Linked DNA regions of Arabidopsis thaliana. The protein of the gene in region 4 interacts with the protein of the main gene of each other region in a pairwise test. Each region holds a gene or a part of one and is shown on either strand. Other genes may lie near its edges.

Evidence for each region.
Region 1: the proteins of AT1G19330 (region 4) and HDA9 interact in a two-hybrid assay, tested with the Arabidopsis thaliana proteins (one study listed by BioGRID).
Region 2: the proteins of AT1G19330 (region 4) and HDA18 interact in a two-hybrid assay, tested with the Arabidopsis thaliana proteins (one study listed by BioGRID).
Region 3: the proteins of AT1G19330 (region 4) and SNL2 interact in a two-hybrid assay, tested with the Arabidopsis thaliana proteins (one study listed by BioGRID).

Annotation. Positions count from the first base shown.
Region 1 is NC_003074.8:16,226,004-16,231,606, forward strand, and holds HDA9 (histone deacetylase 9), read right to left. Parts: upstream 4,007-5,603; 5' UTR 3,750-4,006; coding exon 3,713-3,749; intron 3,070-3,712; coding exon 2,957-3,069; intron 2,836-2,956; coding exon 2,718-2,835; intron 2,645-2,717; coding exon 2,570-2,644; intron 2,496-2,569; coding exon 2,276-2,495; intron 2,190-2,275; coding exon 2,126-2,189; intron 2,037-2,125; coding exon 1,944-2,036; intron 1,861-1,943; coding exon 1,752-1,860; intron 1,645-1,751; coding exon 1,595-1,644; intron 1,501-1,594; coding exon 1,410-1,500; intron 1,333-1,409; coding exon 1,262-1,332; intron 1,168-1,261; coding exon 1,069-1,167; intron 990-1,068; coding exon 923-989; intron 840-922; coding exon 766-839; 3' UTR 516-765; downstream 1-515. Other genes in the region: AT3G44690 (uncharacterized protein), read right to left, coding at 4,682-5,603. UniProt on the Arabidopsis thaliana protein: Responsible for the deacetylation of lysine residues on the N-terminal part of the core histones (H2A, H2B, H3 and H4).
Region 2 is NC_003076.8:24,570,578-24,576,175, reverse strand, and holds HDA18 (histone deacetylase of the RPD3/HDA1 superfamily 18), read left to right. Parts: upstream 1-1,788; 5' UTR 1,789-1,803; coding exon 1,804-2,105; intron 2,106-2,453; coding exon 2,454-2,655; intron 2,656-2,760; coding exon 2,761-2,907; intron 2,908-3,030; coding exon 3,031-3,143; intron 3,144-3,241; coding exon 3,242-3,453; intron 3,454-3,531; coding exon 3,532-3,596; intron 3,597-3,727; coding exon 3,728-3,898; intron 3,899-4,042; coding exon 4,043-4,879; 3' UTR 4,880-5,081; downstream 5,082-5,598. Other genes in the region: AT5G61090 (Polynucleotidyl transferase, ribonuclease H-like superfamily protein), read left to right, coding at 1-218, 321-445, 529-1,274; HDA05 (histone deacetylase 5), read left to right, coding at 5,259-5,461. UniProt on the Arabidopsis thaliana protein: Responsible for the deacetylation of lysine residues on the N-terminal part of the core histones (H2A, H2B, H3 and H4).
Region 3 is NC_003076.8:4,860,014-4,867,686, reverse strand, and holds the start of SNL2 (SIN3-like 2), read left to right. Parts: upstream 1-1,655; 5' UTR 1,656-1,970; intron 1,971-2,110; exon of another isoform or gene 2,111-2,115; 5' UTR 2,116-2,117; coding exon 2,118-2,194; intron 2,195-2,302; coding exon 2,303-2,479; intron 2,480-2,560; coding exon 2,561-2,741; intron 2,742-2,836; coding exon 2,837-2,935; intron 2,936-3,024; coding exon 3,025-3,192; intron 3,193-3,278; coding exon 3,279-3,561; intron 3,562-3,730; coding exon 3,731-3,867; intron 3,868-3,934; coding exon 3,935-4,010; intron 4,011-4,085; coding exon 4,086-4,121; intron 4,122-4,223; coding exon 4,224-4,417; intron 4,418-4,491; coding exon 4,492-4,646; intron 4,647-4,737; coding exon 4,738-4,865; intron 4,866-4,996; coding exon 4,997-5,251; intron 5,252-5,398; coding exon 5,399-6,055; intron 6,056-6,150; coding exon 6,151-6,218; intron 6,219-6,321; coding exon 6,322-6,930; intron 6,931-7,001; coding exon 7,002-7,102; intron 7,103-7,218; coding exon 7,219-7,357; and 3 more. Other genes in the region: AT5G15025 (paired amphipathic helix Sin3-like protein), read left to right, coding at 129-208, 367-525, 604-733. UniProt on the Arabidopsis thaliana protein: Acts as a transcriptional repressor. Plays roles in regulating gene expression and genome stability.
Region 4 is NC_003070.9:6,680,061-6,685,413, reverse strand, and holds AT1G19330 (histone deacetylase complex subunit), read left to right. Parts: upstream 1-1,880; 5' UTR 1,881-2,123; coding exon 2,124-2,336; intron 2,337-3,604; coding exon 3,605-3,731; intron 3,732-3,898; coding exon 3,899-4,053; intron 4,054-4,142; coding exon 4,143-4,208; intron 4,209-4,305; coding exon 4,306-4,374; intron 4,375-4,473; coding exon 4,474-4,590; 3' UTR 4,591-4,851; downstream 4,852-5,353. Other genes in the region: AT1G19340 (Methyltransferase MT-A70 family protein), read right to left, coding at 1-42, 121-616; AT1G19320 (Pathogenesis-related thaumatin superfamily protein), read right to left, coding at 5,236-5,353.

The DNA.
Region 1 (5,603 bases), on a different chromosome or scaffold from region 4:
CCAATAAATACCTCTGCACCAGGAAAACAATTATTTTCAGTCTCCCCATTGCTTATCATTTTCTCTGTTTCTTTATTCATTTATGTTTTCGTTTTACATTCTTTCTAATGAGTTTTTATTTTCTCTGTTTCTTTATTCATTTGTGTTTTCGTTGTATATTCTTTCTAATGTTTTTTTATTTAACATCGAGTCTTAAGTTGCTCGATTTATATATATACATATACATCCATCTGATTGCAAATGATGAGTTAAATCACCATTGATAAAAGAAGCTCAATTGAGCAGTGTTGGCAATCAAAAACTTCCATGACTCTGATGCAAATTTTGATCAAGAAAAATCAAATCCTTGATCTTTTTTTTCTGTTCTTTCTCAGATTTTGTTAATTATCACTGAATTTTGCTTTTCAAATGTATTTCTGTTTAGTCTTAATAATTCTCTGTGTATTTCTCACTAGCGTTTTTAAATCTATTTTTTCTATTAATCTTTAGTGTTTTTTACTAACAAGGCTGCCTAAAAATAAAATTGAATTTGATCAAGTGCAAATTGTACTGTACAATATATAACGAATTTGATCACTATATAAGTCACAATGATGAGAAAGTGAACCAAAAAGCTTCATTCATATACACCAAGACGAAAACATGAAGAAGATGGAATCAATCAGAAGTGGTTTTGGTGCCCCAGTAGCCGTTAAAGTGTTGATATCATTACAAATCTCATAACTAAACAAAAAAATTAACCAACAATTTCTAAGAATCGATGTTTTATGACGCATCGTTATCGTTGTCTCCATCGAAATATTCATCATCCCTCTGGATCTGCTTATCCCGTGAACGCTCTGAAACATTCCATATAGAACATTAGTCACTAAGAAAACAAAGGGACTAAAGTAGAGCCTTGAAGGTGGTTATCGATACTTACGATCCGCACGTACATCCGGGTTTTGTTCGTCTTCATCAAAATCCGGTATGTAGAAATCCGGTGGAACCTAAGAGATTCAAGTAAAAAAACTGATCAGTGTTAGATTGATAAAAGCATCAATTTGTCCTATGATGATCTGAGTTTACCTCCTGCATTTGTACGCTTGGAGCGTGTTGAATGTATCGCAAATTCTCCAAAATCTGCACTTTGATGGAACTGATGTACGATTTGGTATTAAGATTCTCCTGTTTTCATTTCAAACACACAAAATGATTCTCAATCTCTCTTTAGATTTTGTTAAAGCAATGAGGAACTATAAGTTACATAAGAGCTCCTTACAATGTGACCACCCGGTATCTTCAAAGAAAAATCCGGCGCAAAATACTTTATGTAGTCGTTTTCAGGAATCTCTGCAGAAACAACTAACCCCTGAGCCCCCAAAGACCGCAAACATTAAACTTTCTCTAACAAATATTGAAAACCTAACCATTAGGAAGTTCTGTGTCCAAAAGAATGCCAGTCTCAACGGTCCAACAACGAGCTACATTCTCCTTTGTGTATCCTCCACCTCCTGTAACCTAATAAACAATCAGAAAGAACTGACTTCGTCATCAATGAACTTAAGATTACAGAAACGCGTCATACATATATATAAGTTGAGAGATTAGATACCAGTAAGGGAAGATTGAACTTCTTCACGAATTTAACACATTCAGCATGTCCTGTGAAATGCATAGAGAAAGCCATTTCAAAACCCGATTCGCAAAGAAATTAGCAAACGGGAGATTGAAAGAGAGAAAGAGATTTTGATTACAAGAAGAAAAAGCACCATCAATAGAGAGATTAAAGCATCCTAGTCGATCCCTGGCTAGTGAATCTGCCCCGCATTGAAGAACAATTGCACCCGGTTGATATATCTCAACAACCTTGGATATTATCTAGAGATCAAAGGAAATGATGAAACACAAATAAACGGTGAACGCATCGAGAATTTTTCATTGTTTTTAGTTAAAGAACTTACAGTCCTGAAAAGACGGTTGAAACTACTGTCATCGATACCATCCTTCAGCGGCACATTAATGGCGTAAAATTTCCCTTCTCTTTCTCCTATTTCCTTTTTAAAGAAAAAACATCACAATGACAATTCAACCAAACACATTGAAACCGTCCTCACAAATCAGGAAAATGAATTCTGAATATTACCTTAACATCGCCTGTCCCTGGAAAGAACTTATCCCCAAACTTATGAAAGCTAACAGTCATTACTCTACCACCACAAAATTTAAAGATATTGGCAATCAGTTTCTATAGTAACAGCTTTCGAGAAGTAGTGTTATGGATTTGTAACTGTACCTGTCAGTGAAGTAAAACGCTTCTTCAACCCCATCACCATGATGAACATCTATATCTATGTATAGAACACGGGGATGGTGTTTTAACAACTCAAGAATTCCTAGCACGAGATCGTTGATGTAGCAAAACCCAGATGCATCACATTTTTTGGCATGGTGCAACCCGCCCGCCCAATTTATAGCAATGTCACAGAGTTTGTTGTTTAACCTGCGTGCAGCATCTATAGACAAAATTCTCGGTCAGTCGTTTCTCTAAAGTGACAAGCAAACATGAATACCAACTGTGTATATTTACCTATGGTTCCGCCGGCGTAAAGTTGACAAAATTCAAACAAATCTTCAAAGACAGGACAATCCTCTCCCAGATTATCTGCAACACAGTAACTTAATTTCAGCTTAACATGTAGATTACAAAAACAAATTAATGAAGACACAAAACTTACATCTAGCCATTTCATTGGGGAACAAGTTCTGGTTTTCTGGATTAATTCGTTGCAGGAACTCTACATAGTCAGGAGAATGGAACTGAGCCATCTCGATAGGATATGCTTTGTGTGGACGCTGAAACAATAGAGAACATATACAGATTTCAATCGAGATGTACCGTGATATCATAAACAAAAAGAATAAAAGGATCAAGAACAAAAACAAGAAACATATATGATGAGCAAGAGACACTAACATAAACTTCCATCTTGCTATGCAGGCCATATGCAAGGATAAGATGATGGGTCATACAAAGCCTGTGAGGTTTCATCGGGTGATTCGGACCAAAATAGACACTCCCCACATCCCCTGCAACCCAAAAAAAAACATTCAGCATAACATCACAATCTCATATAAACTGCCTCAAAGGCTCCAATCATCAACAAGAATATAATCTGAAACTCGCATCAGAGTTTGAATCATGCAGAAAATCTGAAGTACGAAAATGAAAGTTATATAACTATCAAGTCTATAAAAGTTTCTCAGAGAGGAATCTCGAAAGAACACAATTTCAAACATTATATGCAATGCCAAATTTAACAAAAGTTCTAGGGTTTCATATTTTAGCAAAGAAATAACAAAGACTTGACCAAACCAATCAAAGAAGTCAACTTCACAGGTACTAGAGTCGTCTTCACCACAAGAAGGCTTCTATCTTAAGCTTAAACTCAGGCCAAAGAATCGAAAAAATCAGAAACTTCACCTAAAACCCTTGTTCTTTTCATCAAAAACCCTACTCAATTCTGGAGTATTTCCAAACTAATCGTAACCCTTTACTTATTCTAGACTATAGATATGAAAGATTTCACCTTTCGATGCATCGATTGAGCAATAAAGACAAAAACTAGTGCGGTTCAAGTGGATAAAACTTGCTCAAGAGTTACATCAATCTCAAGGATTTTGGAGTTTCTTTACCATAAATAAAGAAGAAAAGGGAAAGAAATGAATATACCATCATAAAAGTAAGAGATTTTGTCCTTGGAACGCATCTCTTAAAGAAGAAAAGACACGAAGATCGTACGAAATCAATCTTAAAGAAAGATTATACAGAGATATTTCAGGTCTGCTTAGATTCAGTAGAGAGATGAGACGATTTCTTCATTGATGAAGTCGCAGAGATTTCACGATTCTCCGGCGGAGCCGAGAAGAGAGCAGCAACGAAGCGAAAAGAAGAAGAGAGAAGAGAAGAACAAGGGGAGAGTCAAAAGTGAAACGATGTCGTTTTAGTGTTCTGATGACATGACAGATGACGTCATTTAAAGTGTATTTGATAAAAAGCGGTTTTGACTCATGGTTTTATAATACCAGACCGGTAGCTTTCCATCATTTGAACCGAATCGAAATTGAATTTGATACTGTGTATATAAATCAATCGATTTAGTTATATCTTCTTCTTTCTCTTGTCTGGTTTAGTATACATCTTCAATTTCAAAACATGTAAACTGAATCAAATTCGACCAAGGAATGATCACAATCAAAATGAGAAAGAAAACCAATTTCGAGATTATAATAGTAAGAAGTTGTTAGATTATATAAACTTGTTGAGTTATTTACTTGTTGATCTCCGATGTCAATGTCACTACCAGAGACCAAAAAAGACCAACGTCTCGTAACCACTGTCTACTTGATTGATAGGTCGATACAAACCACCGACCAAACAATCTAAAAGACAGACAAAAATCTCAACATTTTAAAGTCAAGTTCAACGCCAAAAGAAAGCATATCTACTAACCAAGATAATATCCTCCATTGCCAAAAAACTTCAATCCTTGAATCTGTTTCTAACCTTTTTCAGACCAAAAAAGAGCCGAGATTACAACTTTAGGATCCTTCGTTTTCACACCCATCCTTTGAAAACCTAGGAGCTTTTCTCTCTCAATCTTGTTTGGAGGAATCAACAATGTTGAGAGAAATGATGACCTCAGGAGAGGTACCTCTTATGGGACTTACCTTTTAGGTTTGGGTTTCTAACCTGATGCAGTCTATGTTTCACATGAACACGTGAATCTTCTTCAACACGCCCACCTAACCGCTCCTTTGCAGATAATCGACGGCGTCGAGTTGATGTGTGATCAACATTACCAGAATTCCTTTCATCAGCTGAGTATCGGAATTGTTCTCTGCTTATTCCTCCATCCACTGCATAGTTCCCTAGCTTGTCTCTGTAATCATATGCTACTTCATGTTCACGGAACCTTTTACTATCTGCCTTCTCATAAGACATTCTTGATTGCTTAGCATCCCTGTAGTTGTAATCATAAGGCATATTCTCATGCATAACCTCACTTGCGTTGTCTCTAAGACCATAATCATCTCTTGTACGCAAAATTGAATCATTCGAATGATAAACCTCTTGTCTACCATCTTGATATCTCATATTGGCATAAACTTTAACATCACCACCATTACGTCGTTGCAAACGCTCATCATCCAAGTAGACTTGATCTCGGTCATCAAAAAGATATCTCCTGCCTCGAAGAGCTTCCTCATCTTGCTTGCCAGCTGATGATCTACTGACATCAGGATGCATCACCCCATACGAATCAATTTCATGATCTCTTAGGAGTTGCTGGCTTTCATAGGGCAAATAGGCTTCCCTTCCGTCATTCGAGGACATTCCTTTACGCTCTAGAGCTCTAGCACCTCCTCGGTCCACAATCTCTGCTTTGGTGACAGCAGGATACATCCTCTCATCAATGCCAGAGTCGTAGTACTTCAGTTGTTGTTTATTGTAATGCTGATAAACATCCTTGCTTTCATTATCCAAATACGCTTCATTTCTATCAATGAAGGCTACTCTCCTAAGCTCTAGCGCCTTGGCATCTCCATGGTCTACTATAATA
Region 2 (5,598 bases), on a different chromosome or scaffold from region 4:
ATGGATTCTGCCTCGCCGCCTGAGTTTGACTGCGAGTTTTGGTCTAAACCGGCATCCAATATCAGGAGGAAGGCCCTCAGACGTTCAAAGGCAATGCCTGCGTTACTCAAGGTCGAACTGCTTCCTACATGCCACATTCTAAATGATGTGTCTGGCAGAAGCCCAACTCTATTGAATGTCGAAATGTACCTTTTCCCAGATGAGAAGAAAACAGAAAGGTACTCAAAACCCCTTTCTATGAAGGACAAGCTTCTTATTCTTGTTGTATCTCTGTTATCAGAAAACTTATCATCTCAGGGCATGTACACTCATTCTTTTAGGTTTACAGGGGAACATGCTACTCTGTTCAAGGCAATGGTAACTCGCAAAGTCATGGCCAAAGCTAATATAAACGGCACTGAATTGTTAATATTCTCCTCAAAACTATTGGACAAGACCTCCCAATGTATGTATGCATTCTGAATTTCTGCAGAGCTTTTAGTTTGTGCATAGATTTTCGATGGATAACATCCGTTTTGTGTTCAGCAGTTCTCATCAATACGCAGAAGAAAACAGAAAACTTCCTTTGGGGTTTTTTTCTCCAGACCAAGAACTCACTAGGACTTGTTCCAGAAACTGCTTCTCAAATTGATAATGATTTTGATGATGGGGGTGTTGTTGACATGGACTTAGACAATGAATGCCTGACCCCGCGTGTGGCTCTGAAGCTTATTACAGAATCACAAAAAACTCCCTCAAGATCACCGGAGAAGGTGAAGGGAGAAGCAAGTGTACCTCCTGGTTTCGAGAAGATATGGACACCACCCTTGGTGAAACTTAATATACAAGGAACATCAAACCCTCTGTCTGATCTAACCAGATCGGCTGGAATAGTGCGTGACCAATCAGGGAAGTGGGTGTTTGGGTACATCAGGTGCCATAAGAGCATCCCTGAAGTCGTAGCTGGGCTTTTGGCTATATACCAAGGCCTCAAATATCTCTGGGACAGCGGTTTCCGAAGAATCCACTTGGAGACAACAAGCTTTGAGATCATCAATGCTCTAACAACAAAATCGTCCCTGTTTTGTAAAAGTAAAACGCTTCTAGGAGCGTGCAAGGACATGATATTGAAGGAGTGGGAGTGTGACATTTACCATATCTCCAAAGAACAGAACTCATGTGCAGAATGGTTAGCAAAGAGATCAGAAGAACAGCCTCAAGAATTAGTTTTCTTTGAATACCCTCCTCGAGGCCTTATGGATTTTCTGGAGAAAGACCGCCTTGCAGCTATGTAGAGCTTCTTCAGGTTTGAGGTACAGTCCCAGTGAGCAGCTTAGAGGTACATATCTCGATTAAGTAGTCTGACCTTTTGAAAATACTAGTAGAAGAAGAGATGTTTGGAGTGTTAATGTGACATCCTTGCGTAGTCGTAAGTACAGTGGAGTCTCATTGTAGCCACAGTTCAAGAACACAGACGTTTTTGTGAAGTGAAGAATCGAAATAACTGTAGATTTTCCCTCCAGATTCAGTGTTGCTCCTCTTCATCTTTCGTTTAGGCACAGTCTTAACAATTCACAAAAAAAAAAAAAAAAAAAATTACTATTAAACGATAAATTCGCCGTTTGCAGAAAATTCGGTTCACCAATTTTAAATTGGTTTATGAGGTTCAACCGGTCATTGGTTCTAAATGAGTTTGAGGTGTCCGCCTTTGATTGGTTGAGATGCTAGGTTTTTCATTTTCCCTCCAAAGAAGCTCTTTAATGGTCCAACAAATATATATTTAATCGTAAATAAGATAAAGAAAAATATATTTTGAAAAGAAAAATGCTTTTGAAGTTTGAAGCTTCTTCAGAGTTGAGACTAGTTGACCCTTCAGTTTCTCTCACTGTTCTTCGAAAGATAAGACTGTCACATCTCCCGGATATGACAATGACCAGCGAATCTTCCGGCAAGAAATGCGGAGAGGGTGACGGCAAAGTCGCCGGTAAAAGCCAGCGAAAGGTGGGTCTTGTTTATGACGAGACCATGTGCAAACACGACACACCTAACGGTAAGGTTGACGTAGAGTGTCCCGATCGTATCAGAGTTATCTGGGAGAAGCTTCAGCTCGCCGGAGTCACTCAAAGGTTCATACTTTCCTCTTCTCGTGCGCCTTTGTTGTCTTTTTTGGGCGATAAAGCCCTAGAAAAGGCTGAAATTTTAGGCTAATTGGGTGTTTTGATGATTATCTCCTCTGAGAAAACAGGTCTCGTTTTGTTTTTCCTTATTTGACTTGACGTTTGACTTTCTCAATCTGAATTGTGTAATTCATAGATTGGAAAGATTCTGCTGATTTTATCCTATATAGGTGTTTCCTAGCTTGGTTAACTGTTTCTTTATCCTATATAGGTGTTTCCTAGCTTGGTTAACTGTTTCGTTATCCTATATAGGTGTTTCATAAATTGTTAACAATGTTGGTCTTTCCTTTTTTGCAGATGTGTGGTTCTTGGTGGTAGTAAAGCTGAAGATAAGCATCTCAAATTGGTTCACACAAAGAAACATGTTAATTTAGTGAAGAGTATTAGCACAAAAAAGAAAGATTCTCGGAGAAACAAGATTGCTTCACAGTTGGATTCGATTTATCTGAATGGAGGTTCATCTGAAGCTGCATATCTTGCAGCTGGATCTGTTGTAAAGGTAATATTAGATTCATACAAATTGTCTCTCTCACACAGGAGGATAGCAAACTGTTAGAATGATTTGTTTGACGATTAGTAACAAAACAAATTAGCAACTTGGTAGGTGGCAGAGAAAGTTGCAGAAGGAGAGTTAGATTGTGGCTTTGCTATTGTCAGGCCCCCAGGACACCATGCCGAGTCAGATGAAGCCATGGGTTTTTGTTTATTCAACAATGTTGCCGTTGCTGCTAGTTTTTTACTAAACGAAAGAGTAATGACTTCTTTTGACTTTTGTGATGCTTTTAGTATCTCTTACTTGCTCTCAAATTTCTTTGGTCACATTCCTTTGGTGCGTACGTTTGTTCTCATGTTATGCGGCATTAATCGAATGCAGCCTGATCTAGATGTCAAGAAAATTCTGATTGTCGATTGGGATATCCATCACGGAAATGGTACACAGAAGATGTTCTGGAAAGATTCTCGCGTACTAATATTCTCTGTTCATAGGTATGTATTTGCAACCTCTGTCTATTCTTCTTTCCAAACTACTTTTTCACATGATCTTTGTTGAGGTTTAAAGTGACTGGAAATGCATTTGTGACTAGGCATGATCACGGAAGTTTCTATCCATTTGGCGATGATGGAGACTTTAACATGGTTGGCGAAGGTCCAGGTGAAGGGTTTAACATTAACGTTCCATGGGAGCAAGGAGGATGTGGAGATGCAGACTATCTTGCCGTATGGAACCACATCTTGATCCCTGTGACCAAGGAATTCAAACCAGATATTATTTTGCTTTCAGCTGGATTTGATGCAGGTTTGTATGGTCTAACCATTTGTTTCAAGGCTTTGTGACGGTAAGCTGTGTGTAATCTTTTCAACTTCTTCTTAACAGCTATTGGTGATCCGCTTGGGGGTTGTTGTGTTACCCCATATGGATATTCAGTTATGTTGAAGAAGGTTGGTGTTGAAGTGAACTGCCTCTTTTCTCCATTGTTTCTATTATGCGTACCATGGCTTCTCTACCATTGAAAATAACAAAGCTACATAATTTTACTTGGATATGACATCATTTAATTGGTTTCTCTCAGCTGATGGAGTTTGCACATGGAAAGATAGTGCTGGCATTAGAGGGAGGATACAATCTTGAGTCATTGGGAAAGTCTTCACTCGCATGTGTCCAAGTTTTGCTTGAAGACAAACAAATTCATGGTTCATCTGAAACATACCCATTAGAATCTACACGGCGTGTCATACAAGCGGTATGGCTCTATATAACCCTAACAGTCTGAAATTTTGTATGAATTGGCTACGATTTCTCTTTTCAGCTCAGTTCTTGTGTCATAAATATTGTATATCGCCTATGTTACTAATTGACAAAGCTCATCTGTTTCTTGTGGGTTTAGGTACGCGAGAGACTATGCACATATTGGCCTTCACTTGACGCGTCAATGGCGTCTAATGAGAATTTAAAGAACCCAAGTGCAGAAAGAAACTCCGCTGACGCCCTCCTTCGTGAAGTGGAAGAGTTAAAGTCTCTAATGGCTGCCCGAGATGGAGAACTGGAGGCAAGGAGAAAAGAGTTAAAGGCCAAAAATAAGGAGCTAGAAGCGAACGAGAAGGAGCTAGAAGCGGGACTAATGTTGATTCGCGCTCGGGAGGATGTAATCTGTGGTCTTCATGCAAAAATAGAGAGTTTGCAGCAGGAGCGAGATGAGGCGGTAGCGAAAGCTGAACGCATAGATAAGGAACTCCAAGAGGATAGGGCAAGAAGCCAGGAGTTCAAAGAAGACACAGAGTTTTGCTTGAGTACGTTAAGGAGGGAGAAGGAGCTTGCCATCATGGCCAAAAATAAGGACCTAGAAGCGAAAGAGAAGGAGCTAGAAGCGCGGCTAATGTTGGTTCACGCTCGGGAGGATAAAATTCATGCCAAAATAGAGAGGTTGCAGCAGGAGCGAGATGAGGCCGTAGCAAAAGCTGAACGCATAGATAAGGAACTCCAAGAGGATAGGTCAAGAAGCCGAGTTGGGAATGGATCTTTTGCCTTTTCTCAGGAGTTCTATGAAGACATGGACTTAGACGAGCTCGAACCTCTGTCTCCGGAGTTCAATGAAGACATGGACTCGGAAGAGCTTGAACCGTTTCAGGTCATCAAGAAAAACATGGAGCGTTCCCACAAGAAGTTCATAAAAGATATGGAGTGTATCAAGTTTATCGCCAGTGAGAGAGCCAGGGTACTTTAGGTTGGGAGCTTGAGGCCGTAGCAGAAGACTACCACAAGTTTCGCGAGATGGTTGATAAGCTCGGGAAGAGCAACATATACCCTTCTTAGAAAGTACAATGGTGTTTCATTGTAACCACAGAACCTTTTTGTGATTGTAAACCAACTGTGTCGTGTCAGACTTTGATTGGTTGCGATACTTGGTTTCCCAATTTCCCTCCAAAGAATCTCCAAATTGGTCAAACTCTCAAACCTAAAAAAAAAAAAGGAGAGAATGAAAAAAAGAAAGAATTGAAAAGTAAAAAATACTTGGAAGCTTTAGAAGCTGAGAGCAAAGACTTGACCTTTTTCACTTCCTTCTCACTGATCGTCGAACAATAAGGCCGTCGCATCTCCCAGTTATGGCTATGGCCGGAGAATCTTCCGGCAAAAAAATTGGAGACTGTGACGGTAAAGTCGCGGGGAACAGACAGCGAAAGGTGGGTCTTATTTACGACGAGACGATGTGCAAACACGACACACCTGACGGCGAGGATCACCCTGAGTGTCCCGACCGCATCAGAGTTATCTGGGAGAAGCTTCAGCTCGCCGGAGTTTCTCAAAGGTTCATACTTTCTCTCTTCTTCGTGCGGCTTTGTTGTTTGTTTGATAATATAAGCCCTAGAAAATGCTCAAATTTAGTCAAATTGGGTACTTTCTGATCCTGTCAGCTGAGAAACTGGTCTCAATTTGTTCTTCCTT
Region 3 (7,673 bases), on a different chromosome or scaffold from region 4:
CTCACTTGAAAGATCTGAGTGATTTGTTTCAGATCTTCTCCGAAAGTGAGTCTCTCTAAACTTCATCGTGATTCTTTGTTTCTCTTCTGCTTGCAATAACTTTTTCCCCCATAATTCTTCAATCAGGGATGAAGCGGATTGGAGATAAAGAAATCGACGGTTCTGGGTCTCAAAATCAACATCCAGTGGGCTCCCCTCGAAACGAATTGTAAGTTCCATTTTCAATCTTAGCGATGAGCACACAGAGGGTTTCGCATTTATGCTATTTCAAATCTTTTAATCTAGTTGCGTTTTAGCAAAAGACTTTGGTTAGTATCGTAATCTTGAAGTATTGTGTTGATGATCGTGGGGTTGTTTTTGACGCAGACAAGGGCAATCTCCAAAACCTGGAAACGGTAACACCAAAGATGCTTTGACAACCGATGATGCTTTGGCCTACTTAAAGGAAATAAAGGACGTGTTTCATGATCAAAAGTACAAATACCATCTGTTTCTCGAGATTATGAGCGACTTCAAGGCACAAAGGTATAACATCTTTTTGTTTTGTTTCTTTAAGTATCATATTTAGCCTCTGAACCCATTCTTCATCTTGCATTTTATCAGGACCGATACTTCTGTCGTGATTGCACGAGTCAAAGACCTGTTAAAGGGACATAACCATTTAATTCTCGTATTTAACAAATTCTTGCCACATGGGTTTGAAATTACTCTTGACGATGAGGATGAGGATTAAGGATCAAGAAGCTAGCATTTGAATGAGACGGATATATCAAATTAGCTCTCTGTTCGACCTTTTTTTTAATATCTTCTTAGCTCTACTACAAGTTACAATTGGTTATTTTTAGTATTGGAGAAACAGGTTGTGTTGTTACTTCTGCTCAGAATTATGAATGTTTTTTCTCATAGATCAAAAGATCTCTGAAGTCTGACATGTGAATTTTATTCAAAAGATCATCACAGCAGAAGTTTCAAAATAACTATTCGATTGGGCTCTCATAAAGTACAGTTTGTTTATCTTTCATACTCTGATTTCAGAATAGCGTATATTGCCAATAAGGCGAAGCAATCACAGAGCCAAAAACCAAAGAGTTCTCATTGTTTTTCTAATACAAAACCAAGATTTGAAGATTCAAATAATAAAACTTATTGAGATCAGAGTTTGGTTAATAAATTCTCAGTCACGGTTAATCAGAAACACGGACCAATTTGTTACTCATCACATCTCTGTTCAGAAAAAGGGACGACTATGTGCAAGATCTAAAAGGAGAAGAGAGGAAATATAAAAACAAATAAGATCATCAGAGACTTAAATACTAAGAATCATAAAGATTTCTCCATCATATTGTTGCAGTATTTGCTCATCAACTGATCCAAACAAAAAATCCGAATTTCAAAAACACTAAAAACTGCAGAAGTATATAAGAAGATGTAGCAAGCTTAGATCGATATCTCTGAGTAATGTTATCTGTTTCCTCTTTATATATCTTCCTCGGCGAATATGATGAAGCAAAACCCTAATTACCTTACGAATTTATTTAATGGGCCTAATAATCAGGGCCTTTTATTAAGCCCATTATAAATTTTAACGGCCCAAAAATAGAAAAAAGGAAATAATAATAATTTGGTCTCGCTGAAACAATTCTAAAGAAGGTGCCGGGAGAGACCTCATAGGCAAATTCCGTCCTCGTTTCTTCTTCTTCTTCATTATTCGAAAATTACTTTCTCTCTCTTGCTTCTCAGTCGTAGCAACTCCAATTCAAAACATTTCTCTCTCATTTGTTTTTTAATCTTCTTCTGAATTCCACTCTGTTCTCATCGGAATTGTTCTTGGGGTTTGGCACAATTCGGGAAATTTGAAGTTTTCGCCGGAATTTGATCGGAAGTGTTTCTTATCGATTCCGCTCTTACTCGAGAGATCTGATTAATCTCTTCCCGGAGTTATATCTCTGGGAAATCTGGAGAACGAGAAAGTAGGTTTTATCAACTTCATCTGAATTTTCCTTTTTTAGATGCTCAGTAATGGAATTTCTAAATTGGGATTTTGGGTTTACCTTCAAATTTCTTCATTTCTCTTCTCTAATCGATGATCTTTCTTGTTTGTTTTACTCAGAGCAGCAATGAAGCGAATTAGGGATGATATTTACGCAACCGGGTCTCAATTTAAACGTCCTTTGGGCTCTTCTCGTGGCGAATCGTGAGTTTCCCTTTTCGTCAGACTTCGAAAATTTAAAATTGCTGGCGATGAGACATTATAGCTTGTTTGCATGAAAGTTACTAAGTGATTAGAGTTTGTTTGGTGCAGATATGAGCAATCTCCAATCACTGGAGGAGGGAGCATTGGTGAAGGGGGAATCAACACTCAGAAATTGACTACCGATGATGCTTTGACCTACTTAAAGGAAGTAAAGGAGATGTTTCAAGATCAGCGAGACAAATATGATATGTTCCTTGAGGTTATGAAAGACTTTAAGGCACAAAAGTAAGATCTTTAATTTCTTTCCTATCAGATCGATTGAATTTTTGAAGCCTCTGGGAACAATTCTTCATCTTGCATTTACAGGACTGATACATCTGGTGTGATTTCACGAGTGAAGGAGCTGTTTAAGGGGCATAACAATTTGATTTTCGGGTTTAACACCTTTTTGCCTAAGGGGTTTGAAATAACGCTTGATGATGTAGAAGCTCCTTCAAAGAAAACTGTTGAATTTGAAGAAGCCATAAGCTTTGTTAATAAAATTAAGGTCAAGAAGTTCTCTTCTCGTATGTATGTCCTTATCTTTGAAGTGTCCTCTACACCTAGTATCTCATTGTATCAGTTTCTTTTGCATCACTGCAGACACGGTTCCAGCACAATGAACTTGTCTATAAGTCGTTTCTGGAAATCTTAAATATGTATCGGAAGGATAATAAGGACATCACTGAGGTTTACAATGAGGTAATGTCACATTGAAGTGATTATATCTCTCGTATACTTTCACGTCGATAATTCTCGATATTTTATACCTCTAATATCTGTTTATTTAGGTGTCTACTCTTTTTGAGGACCACTCGGATTTGCTTGAAGAGTTCACTAGGTTTTTACCAGACTCGTTGGCGCCTCATACAGAAGCCCAGTTACTTCGTAGTCAAGCCCAACGGTATGATGACCGGGGATCAGGCCCTCCTCTTGTGCGTCGAATGTTTATGGAGAAGGTATGGTATCGGTTACGTTTCTTCCTGGTTCTACTATATTGTTTTCAGGACTCTCTTTTCTGTGCTGATACATTTTTCATCATCAGGATCGCCGACGAGAAAGAACTGTTGCTTCTCGGGGTGATCGTGATCACAGTGTTGACCGTTCTGACCTTAATGATGATAAATCAATGGTTAAGATGCACAGAGATCAGAGGAAACGTGTTGATAAGGATAATAGAGAAAGGAGAAGCCGTGATTTGGAAGATGGAGAAGCAGAGCAAGATAACTTGCAACATTTTTCAGAGAAAAGGAAGTCCTCGAGAAGAATGGAGGGGTTTGAAGCTTATTCTGGTCCTGCTTCACATTCTGAGAAAAACAATCTAAAAAGTAAGCGACTTTTATTTATATGGAGAACCAACAACTTTTCTGTTTTTAAGGCTCCACAATTTCAGTTTTCTAATTTTCTAGTCAACAGGTATGTTCAAGTGCAACCAGTCTTTTCTGTTTTCTGATACTTACAATATCATATTTTTTGTATGTCCTTTTATTGTGTTAGGCATGTACAACCAAGCATTTTTGTTTTGTGAGAAAGTCAAGGAGAGATTATGCAGCCAAGATGATTATCAAGCATTCTTGAAGTGTCTCAATATGTTTAGCAATGGAATTATCCAAAGGAAAGATCTGCAGAATTTGGTAGGTCTGCATGTGTTGATACTTATAGGGGTAAAATTTTGTCCTTACGTTACTTTCTTTCATCCAGGTTTCCGATGTGCTTGGAAAATTCCCTGATCTCATGGATGAGTTCAATCAGTTCTTTGAGCGTTGTGAGAGTATTGGTATATAAGATTGCATACTGTCGTTTTACTTAATAAGTTATCTAGCTGTTTCTGATCATCATCCTTTTTGTGCAGATGGTTTCCAGCACCTTGCTGGTGTTATGAGCAAAAGTAGGCAGCAGTCTCCTAGCTTCTTGTCTATGAGTATACTTTTCTCTTTTTTTTCGTACGTTATAGGAATAGAAATAACACTGCCTGGTACACTTGCTGCAGAATCACTTGGTAGTGAAGAAAATTTATCTAGATCAGTGAAGGGGGAGGAAAAAGATAGAGAACACAAACGTGACGTTGAGGCTGCTAAGGAAAAAGAGCGATCCAAGGACAAGTACATGGGGAAATCTATTCAAGAGCTTGATCTATCTGATTGTGAGCGTTGCACTCCTAGCTACCGGCTTCTCCCTCCAGATGTAATAAGATTTTCAGAGTTCTATATTGCATACAGTGACATTTTAATTGTACTTATATTAGATCTTATTTGCAGTATCCAATCCCGTCTGTGCGCCACAGACAGAAATCAGGAGCTGCTGTGTTAAATGATCACTGGGTTTCTGTCACTTCAGGAAGTGAAGACTACTCTTTTAAGCACATGCGCAGGAACCAATATGAAGAAAGCTTGTTTAGATGTGAAGATGATAGGTTCGTTTACAAAAAGTATTACACATTTGATAGCTTTTGTAGTCTTTAAGTAATTTGTATGTTAAGATTGTTTACTTGCTTCTTCTTACAGATTTGAGTTGGACATGCTGTTGGAATCTGTGGGATCTGCTGCCAAAAGTGCAGAAGAATTGTTGAATATTATCATTGATAAGAAAATAAGTTTTGAGGGCTCCTTCCGGATTGAAGACCATTTCACAGGTATGTGGGCATTTATTTTCCAGGGACCTATATTAGTGATTGTAGTTCTCTCCGTCCCACCTCGCTTACCATATCTTTAAGCCATCATCTTTTAAGCTAACACTTTCCATTTTCTTATTGACTTAATACAGCACTAAATCTAAGGTGTATAGAGAGACTTTATGGAGACCATGGTCTTGACGTGACAGACTTAATACGTAAGAATCCAGCTGCTGCACTTCCTGTAATTCTAACTCGATTGAAGCAGAAACAAGATGAATGGACAAAATGCCGTGAAGGTTTTAATGTGGTCTGGGCGGATGTGTATGCGAAAAACCATTACAAATCACTTGATCACCGCAGCTTCTATTTTAAGCAGCAAGATTCTAAGAATTTGAGTGCAAAAGGTAAGTAAACTCTTGGAATGTGCTCAGTCCATCAGAGGACTTGTCCTCACCTATAATTGCTTACAACCATCTGTCATGGATCTATTCTTGCATTTACTTTCTTGTTCTCATAATTCTGTTTTTTTTTAATCCTTGGTTAAATACCAGCGCTGGTGTCTGAAGTCAAGGACTTGAAAGAGAAGTCTCAGAAAGAAGACGATGTTGTTCTGTCTATTTCTGCTGGTTACAGGCAACCGATAATTCCTCACCTCGAGTATGACTATCTCGACAGAGCTATTCATGAAGACCTGTTCAAACTAGTCCAATTTTCTTGTGAGGAGATATGTTCTACAAAAGAGCAGACTGGTAAAGTTCTGAAGCTCTGGGCTAATTTTTTGGAGCTGATGCTTGATGTTGCACCCAGGGCCAAGGGGTCAGATTCTGTTGAAGATGTTGTAGAAACCCAGCATCAGCGTGCATTTACCAGTGGGGAGGCTAATGAGAGTTCTGATGCGATAAGTTTGGTTTCTAGGCAACTAAAATTTGCTACCAATGGAGATGTGCATGCTTCATCTGGGGTCTCCAAGCATGGTGAGACTGGTTTGTTGAATAGGGATTCTTCAGGGAAAGAAAATTTGAAGGATGGTGATCTTGCTAATAAAGATGTTGCCACCTGTGCTGAAAAACCCCAAAAAGATCAAGAAATTGGAAATGGAGCTGCTAAAAGATCTGGAGATGTTGATGAAAGAGTGGCCACTTCAAGTTCGTCTTTCCCAAGTGGGGTCGAAAACAATAATGGTAAAGTAGGAAGCAGAGATTCGTCAGGTATTTTCAGGATTGAACTTTAATTTTTTCCTTTTCTTCAGTTTGTGTTTGCTATACCTACCTTAACATGTCGGTGCTTTACTTTTATTTTCAAGGTTCACGGGGCATATTATCCAAACCAAGTGAAGCTATAGATAAAGTTGATAGCATTCAACATACGCAGGTACTGTATTCAGTTTCACATTTTAATTATATGTTCTTATTTGTCTGTTCTGCTTTTTATGGACTCTTCTGACCATTCTCACTGTTCCTGACCTTTTCTCTAGGGAGTTGATATAGGCCGAATTATAGTCTTAGGAAATGGTCTGCAGTCAGATACTTCTAAAGCCAACAGTAATTATGATGAATCGGGTGGTCCATCCAAAATTGAGAAGGAGGAAGGTGAATTATCACCTGTTGGTGATTCCGAAGACAACTTTGTTGTTTACGAAGATCGTGAGTTGAAGGCTACTGCGAAAACAGAACATTCAGTTGAAGCTGAAGGAGAAAATGATGAGGACGCTGACGATGAGGATGGTGATGATGCTTCCGAAGCTGGTGAGGATGCTTCGGGAACTGAATCTATTGGTGACGAATGTTCACAGGACGATAATGGCGTTGAGGAAGAGGGTGAGCATGATGAGATTGATGGTAAAGCTGAAAGTGAAGGAGAGGCAGAGGGAATGGAGTCACATCTTATAGAAGACAAAGGGTTGTTTCCGTCATCAGAACGTGTTCTATTATCAGTTAAGCCTCTGTCAAAACATATAGCTGCAGCGGCTTTGGTTGATGAGAAAAAGAAGGATTCCAGAGTATTCTATGGGAATGACGACTTTTATGTCCTTTTCAGGCTTCATCGAGTGAGTGCAATTGATTCTTATGATTTGCTTTCTCACGTTAAATCTGAAAAAGTACTTTTTACCTTGAAAATATTTAGTAATTCTTTTTAATTGGCTTTTATTTCCAGATCCTGTACGAGAGAATTCTGTCTGCGAAAACATATTGCTCCGGCAGTGAAATGAAACTGAGAAACACTAAAGATACTTGTTCACCAGATCCTTATGCAAGGTACATTCCTTAACCAATGTAGATATACAATTGGTCCATTGCTTTTATGTAGACTATGCAGGTTCTTTATTCACTTCAGTAAAATTTATAAACCCTCGTATTTGTATGTTCTGCAGGTTTATGAATGCTCTGTTTAGTCTGCTTAATGGCTCAGCTGAAAATTCCAAGTTTGAGGATGAATGCCGAGCTATTATTGGAAACCAGTCATATGTTTTATTCACTTTGGAAAAACTGATATACAAATTGGTTAAACAGGTAATATTCACTCTCTTTATTGGTTTTAGGTTGATCATGTTTCCTTTTCAAACATTATAATCCTTCTCAAATCTGACTTTGTTTCATCTGTTGCAGCTTCAAGCTGTTGTAGCTGACGACATGGACAATAAGCTTCTTCAGTTGTATGAGTATGAGAATTCCCGGAGACCTGGGAGGGTATTTGACTCGGTATATTATGAAAACGCTAGGATCCTCCTTCATGAAGAAAATATTTATCGGTTAGAATGTGTAAGAACCCGAAACCAATTCTCACCTTTCTCCTATCTCTTCATTGAGGATTAGTGATGATTCATTG
Region 4 (5,353 bases):
TATTGAACACTTGAAACACTCTCTGTTCATTACAACTCTCACCTATCAAGTCCACAAAACACCATCAAATTCATGGGTTTCAAATACGATCTAGCAAGTGACATAGAGAAACCAAAAAACCTTCATTGTCGCAATGTAGATTAAAACTCAGTGTTATCTCATAGAAAGGAGCTTGCCACACTCCTCCAAGCTCAATAAAAGAGACTTCATCGTCACAACACTTGTTCAACAAACTAGAATCATCATCATCATTATCATCACTTAGACCTTTCGTTAAACTCAACAACTCAATTTCCTTTAGAAAAGATTCATGGGCTTTCGATAAGAACAGCCTCGCTTCCTGATGACGAAGATTCGAAGCTTGCTCTCCTACACTAGGAAGGTGAAAGCTAGAGTTTTTCTGCTTCCGTTTTCGCTTTTTCGGATTAGACTCGCTAGAGTGTTGATTGAGTTGCTTCGAATTGAAGAAACGAGAGTAGTAAGCAGAAGGTGAAACCTTAAATCGGGTATATGAACGGTTGGTGATACGAACTGTGTCTAAGAAGAACCAATTGAATTCGTCGGATTCGTAGATACCAGAATCAAGGAATTGAGCTAGCTTATCAGTTTTCGCCATTTAACGGCTCCAACACTCTCTAGTCTCTTTGTTCAAACAAAACCCTCAAAGACGACGATAGAGACAGACGTGTAGGATTATTCTCATTAACCCCTCGAATTTTCATAATTGACCACAATTAGTCACCTAATTTTGAAATGTAACAAGTAACCCCTAATTTAGTGCAAATCCTCTGAAAATTTCCCGGTAATTAATGGATTTTGTTCCAGCCTCTAGATTTCGTAGGTTTATGTTTAAAAACAATAAAGAACAAAAGAATGAAAATTTTGATTTTTATGGGAGGGGAATGGTAGTAAGGGTAAGCATTAAAAGTTACGAATAATTGAAGCAGGCGTTTGGTGAGGGGTCGCTTTGACAGTTTCCCCAAATATGGGGACGGTTTTATTTTTGGGTGGGCTTTGTTAACTGTGACAATGACAATGACTCGATAAAAGTTTTGGACAAATAATTGATCCAAACATGTAACTTTCATATAGTAAGAAAATCATGTATGATTGTATGTAACACAAAAAAAGAAAGATAAAATATTCATAGATCATATCGATCATCTACCTTTATAAAACCTTTATAAAACCTTCTTATAATCGGTCGAAAAAAGGTTTTTGTATTTGCGTCTCTTGAGCTCTTTTGATGATAATATCGATGTGTGTTTAATAGTGTTATCATTAAAGAGACACAACATTAAATCCCTTAGATTTTCTGTATCTAATATACCCAATTATCCCATCGACCAATTTGATTGCTTTTTAGCCATTATATGAGTTTAAAGTTTATGTTCAATGTTTATCTTACTGTATTTGATCCATTTATTTCACTTACTAAGCAGTACTTGTTTCGTTTATTTTGCTGTTTTGAGAACCTGGTTTTCATAAAGTAAAACATTGTTCTCAATAATAATAAAAATCTAGTAATGGAGAGAGCAATAATTATGAAAGAAAGAAAATTATAAGATAAGGACAAAGAAGATCCAAAAAAATTCAAACTATGGAAAAAAGTTACGTGACTAAGGGTATAACCGTCATTTAAATAAAAACGGGTCCCATCTATCTCTGTCTTTATTAAACACCAGTCAACCATTCAGGTCAATCGCGTGTTCTGTAATTACCAAAAGTACCCCTCCGGTTAAATCCAAACAAAAAAACCGGTTCTGTTTTTGCATAACGCATATAGTTTCAGTACAATGCTGACATGGCTTCTTCTAATTGGTCCCCGTGGTGAAAAACCTGTCTCTATCATCCTCTCTTTCCCTCCTCCTCTACCTTCTCTTTACTCTGCTTCTTCTTCTCTCATCTCTCTTCTTCTCTCTCTGCTTCTTCTTGTGGGACAAACCCTAATTATTTTACTTCGATATCTCTCCACTTTTCCCGCTCAATCATCTGATCTTTCCCTCTCTCAGCAATGCATGATCTTCGATTTTCTATCAGTGTTCAAAGCTGAAAAAAATCGAACTGGGTCTGTTGATTTCTTCAGGTCTAAAATCAGATTAGATTAGAGAAGAAGAAGAAGAATGCTGGAAGCTGTAGATAGCTCAGGAGTGGTGAATGGAGGATTCCCGCAGATTCAGAGCTTTTACGGCGATTGCAGTAGTGAAGAAGAGTTATCGGTATTGCCACGTCATACAAAAGTGGTGGTCACCGGAAACAACCGGACGAAATCGGTGCTTGTTGGTCTTCAAGGTGTTGTCAAAAAAGCTGTCGGTCTCGGTGGTTGGCATTGGCTGGTAAAGTTATTTGATTTCTTTCCTTTTTTGGTAAAAATGTTATCTTTGTTGTTTCCTGTTCCGTTTTCCATTTATAGTTAAATTTCGATCTAATCTAGTGTTTTGTTCTCTGTTTTCTGGATTTACCAAGTTTGCAATTGATGAACATAATTTGGGTTTTGGGATGATTTTGTATTTCAAATTTGGGTTTTTTTCCCTTGAATTTCTCAACATGATCAACTTTAAATTAGATATAATCATTCATGAGCTTCGATTTACTAGTTATAGATTCACTAATCAAGTCAATAATTATGTTTCCTCGCATCTAATTTTAAACCAAGAATTGTTAGTTTGATCGAAAATCAAATCTACTTTTGTATTTACCAAATGTTAAATCTGTAAAATTTTCGAAATCTGGCGATTGAACTTGTTGCATGCATGATAGCATTCAAGTCACCATTATTGCTGGATTTTACACTGTTTAACCTTGTATTTATGGTTCTTAGGTAGTTATTTTATTCATGAAACCCTTGAGTGATTTTTATTTTTCTTTAAAAATTAGTTTGCATCAAATAAAGATTCTGAAACATTTTGGTATCTTTGATTATTTTGGTGTTTCATGCTGAGTTTCAGGCTCAATTTAAGGAATCATCTATAGGGGATAAGTGATTTTTGAGTTTGCAAACATTAATTAGGCAAACCAAAAAAGAGGCAACTTTATTTTGGCGCCTGGTCAATAAAACATCATAACAAATATGCACTTGTTATCTAATTCTCCATCATATTTCTTGACATTTTTGTTCTCCACCTTAAGGATCCAAGCTGGCTTTTTGAAATTTGTTAGTCTTTTGATTAATGTTAATCATTTGTTTTAGAGGTTTTTCTTCTTTTTTGTTCTTTCTTAATTAGTTGAGTCATTTTCGTCCCCAAGCAGTGTCACTTCTGTCGATTACTATTCTTTATAAAATCTTTATGCTTTGGTTGGCTAGTTTATATTATAAACTGCTCTGCAAGATCTTTTTGATAGTGTCTCTGTGTATGTGGACCTAAAGGAGTAACTTCACCATATTCTAGCTTTAAACTTTAGAGAATAATCCATATAATTTACGAATTTCTTCAGTATCACGATTATGTTTTACTATTAGTGATATCACATTCCACCAGTTCTTGTCTCCCAGAATTCCTATGGAAGTAACAGTAGGAGTTGAAGTATTAAAATCAATGTCAGTACTTGTTTATGGAGTTAAAAGTATTTAATCAGAATTATTGTTGTGCTTTTTGGTTTGTAGGTTTTGACAAATGGAATAGAAGTAAAGTTGCAGAGGAATGCGCTTAGTGTCCTTGAACCTCCTACTGGAAACGAAGAAGACGATGATCTTGATTTCGAAAACACACAGAGGAATGGCTCTGATATGAGTAAGTTTTGTTCCTTGTTATTTTTGTAACGATTCTGCCAATTTGTCAAAAACTTGATATAGAGATCTCTAAACTTGATTTAGTCTCCTGTGAGCTACTAAGTGATATATTGTTCTTTGATGGGAACCCTTTTAACTGATTTTTTTCAGACTTGTTTCTATGATAAGTTGTTTCTTTTCCAGCATCTGAGGACACACTGAAGCCTCATAAGTCGAAGCTAAGAGGGCAGAGATCATCTCGGTCATCTCACAAGACGATGAGCAGGTCTCTATCATCTGACTCGCAATCAAAAAGTTCGGGTTTTACTCCTCCTGAAAACATGGTATGCATTCAAATTTTTTGACATCTATTCCATTTGAAGATAATGCAACAAATCGTAAGTTTACTGATGCTATATCATATGCTTTCAAGCAGAAGGTTGATCTTAGCAAATTGGAAATGCCTGCTTTACTGAATTATTGGCGACATTTTAACCTTGTAAGTTGAATTCCAGAAGAAAAGGAAGAGAAGAAACTTACTTTCGTTTTCTCAATCTTGTTTTCTATGTGCTTGCTTCTGAAGAAACTCTTTGTAGGTGGATGCAATTCCAAATCCATCAAAGGAGCAACTAATTGACATTGTTCAAAGGCACTTCATGTCTCAGGTACGTCAACATCTCTGAGCCTTCACTGTGTTATGGATTTGTCTTAATTTTGTCCTGATAATCAATAAAATGGTGTAAATAACTGTGAAATGAATACAGCAAATGGATGAGCTTCAGGTTATTGTGGGGTTTGTCCAAGCTGCAAAGAGAATGAAGAAGGCTTGCAAGTTTCAATCCAAAGAATCCAGAAACACTGATCTTAACTGCATCAGCTAAAGAAAAGCCCTGACTCTTAACAAATCCTGTATGTACGGTACATCAACTTGTTTAACCATTTGTGGCTTGCTAAGTTTAGTTCTTCTAGTGATGTTTGGCTAAAGGGTAGATGTTGTTTCTTCTTTGCTTCTGTTGTTTAGCCAATGTAAGTACCATCAAAAAAACCAAATAACTCTCTAAAGCTCCCTATTGGAAACTATCTTGTCTGATACGATCTGGAGTGACCGGTATGTTGTTAGAATGTAAATATGTTTGGTATCACTTCTCTCACTTTTTTCTTTCATTTCCTTTAACCTCAAGTCAAATACAAATTGTCCTACCCAAAAAAAAAAAAGAAACTCCTACCAAAAAAACCATTTTACTCAAATAAACTTTGATATTTTTATGTAATAATCTTTTTTCTTAAACAATCAAATATATAAAGTTTCATCTTCTTTTTGAAACATAATCTTTGATTATCTCCTCCTTGTTGATAATAATGGCTATGCATGCCGTATCTCATCTTTTGTTTTAGAAACGTCACCTTTTTGTATTTGTGAAGGAGATTAAAGAGACAAATAAAACATAAAAATATGTTAAAAATGATCAATCTTTTTATTCATTGATAAATAATAATAATTAATGAATAATAAAGGCGATTTTTGCCTAAGAACAGAAACTGATCTCATAATTAGCATTAGTACAAGTAAAAGTACTGGAAGCATCATCGTATGCATAGCTATACGCACTCGGACAAGCTTGTTTAAATATCTTCGAGTAATTC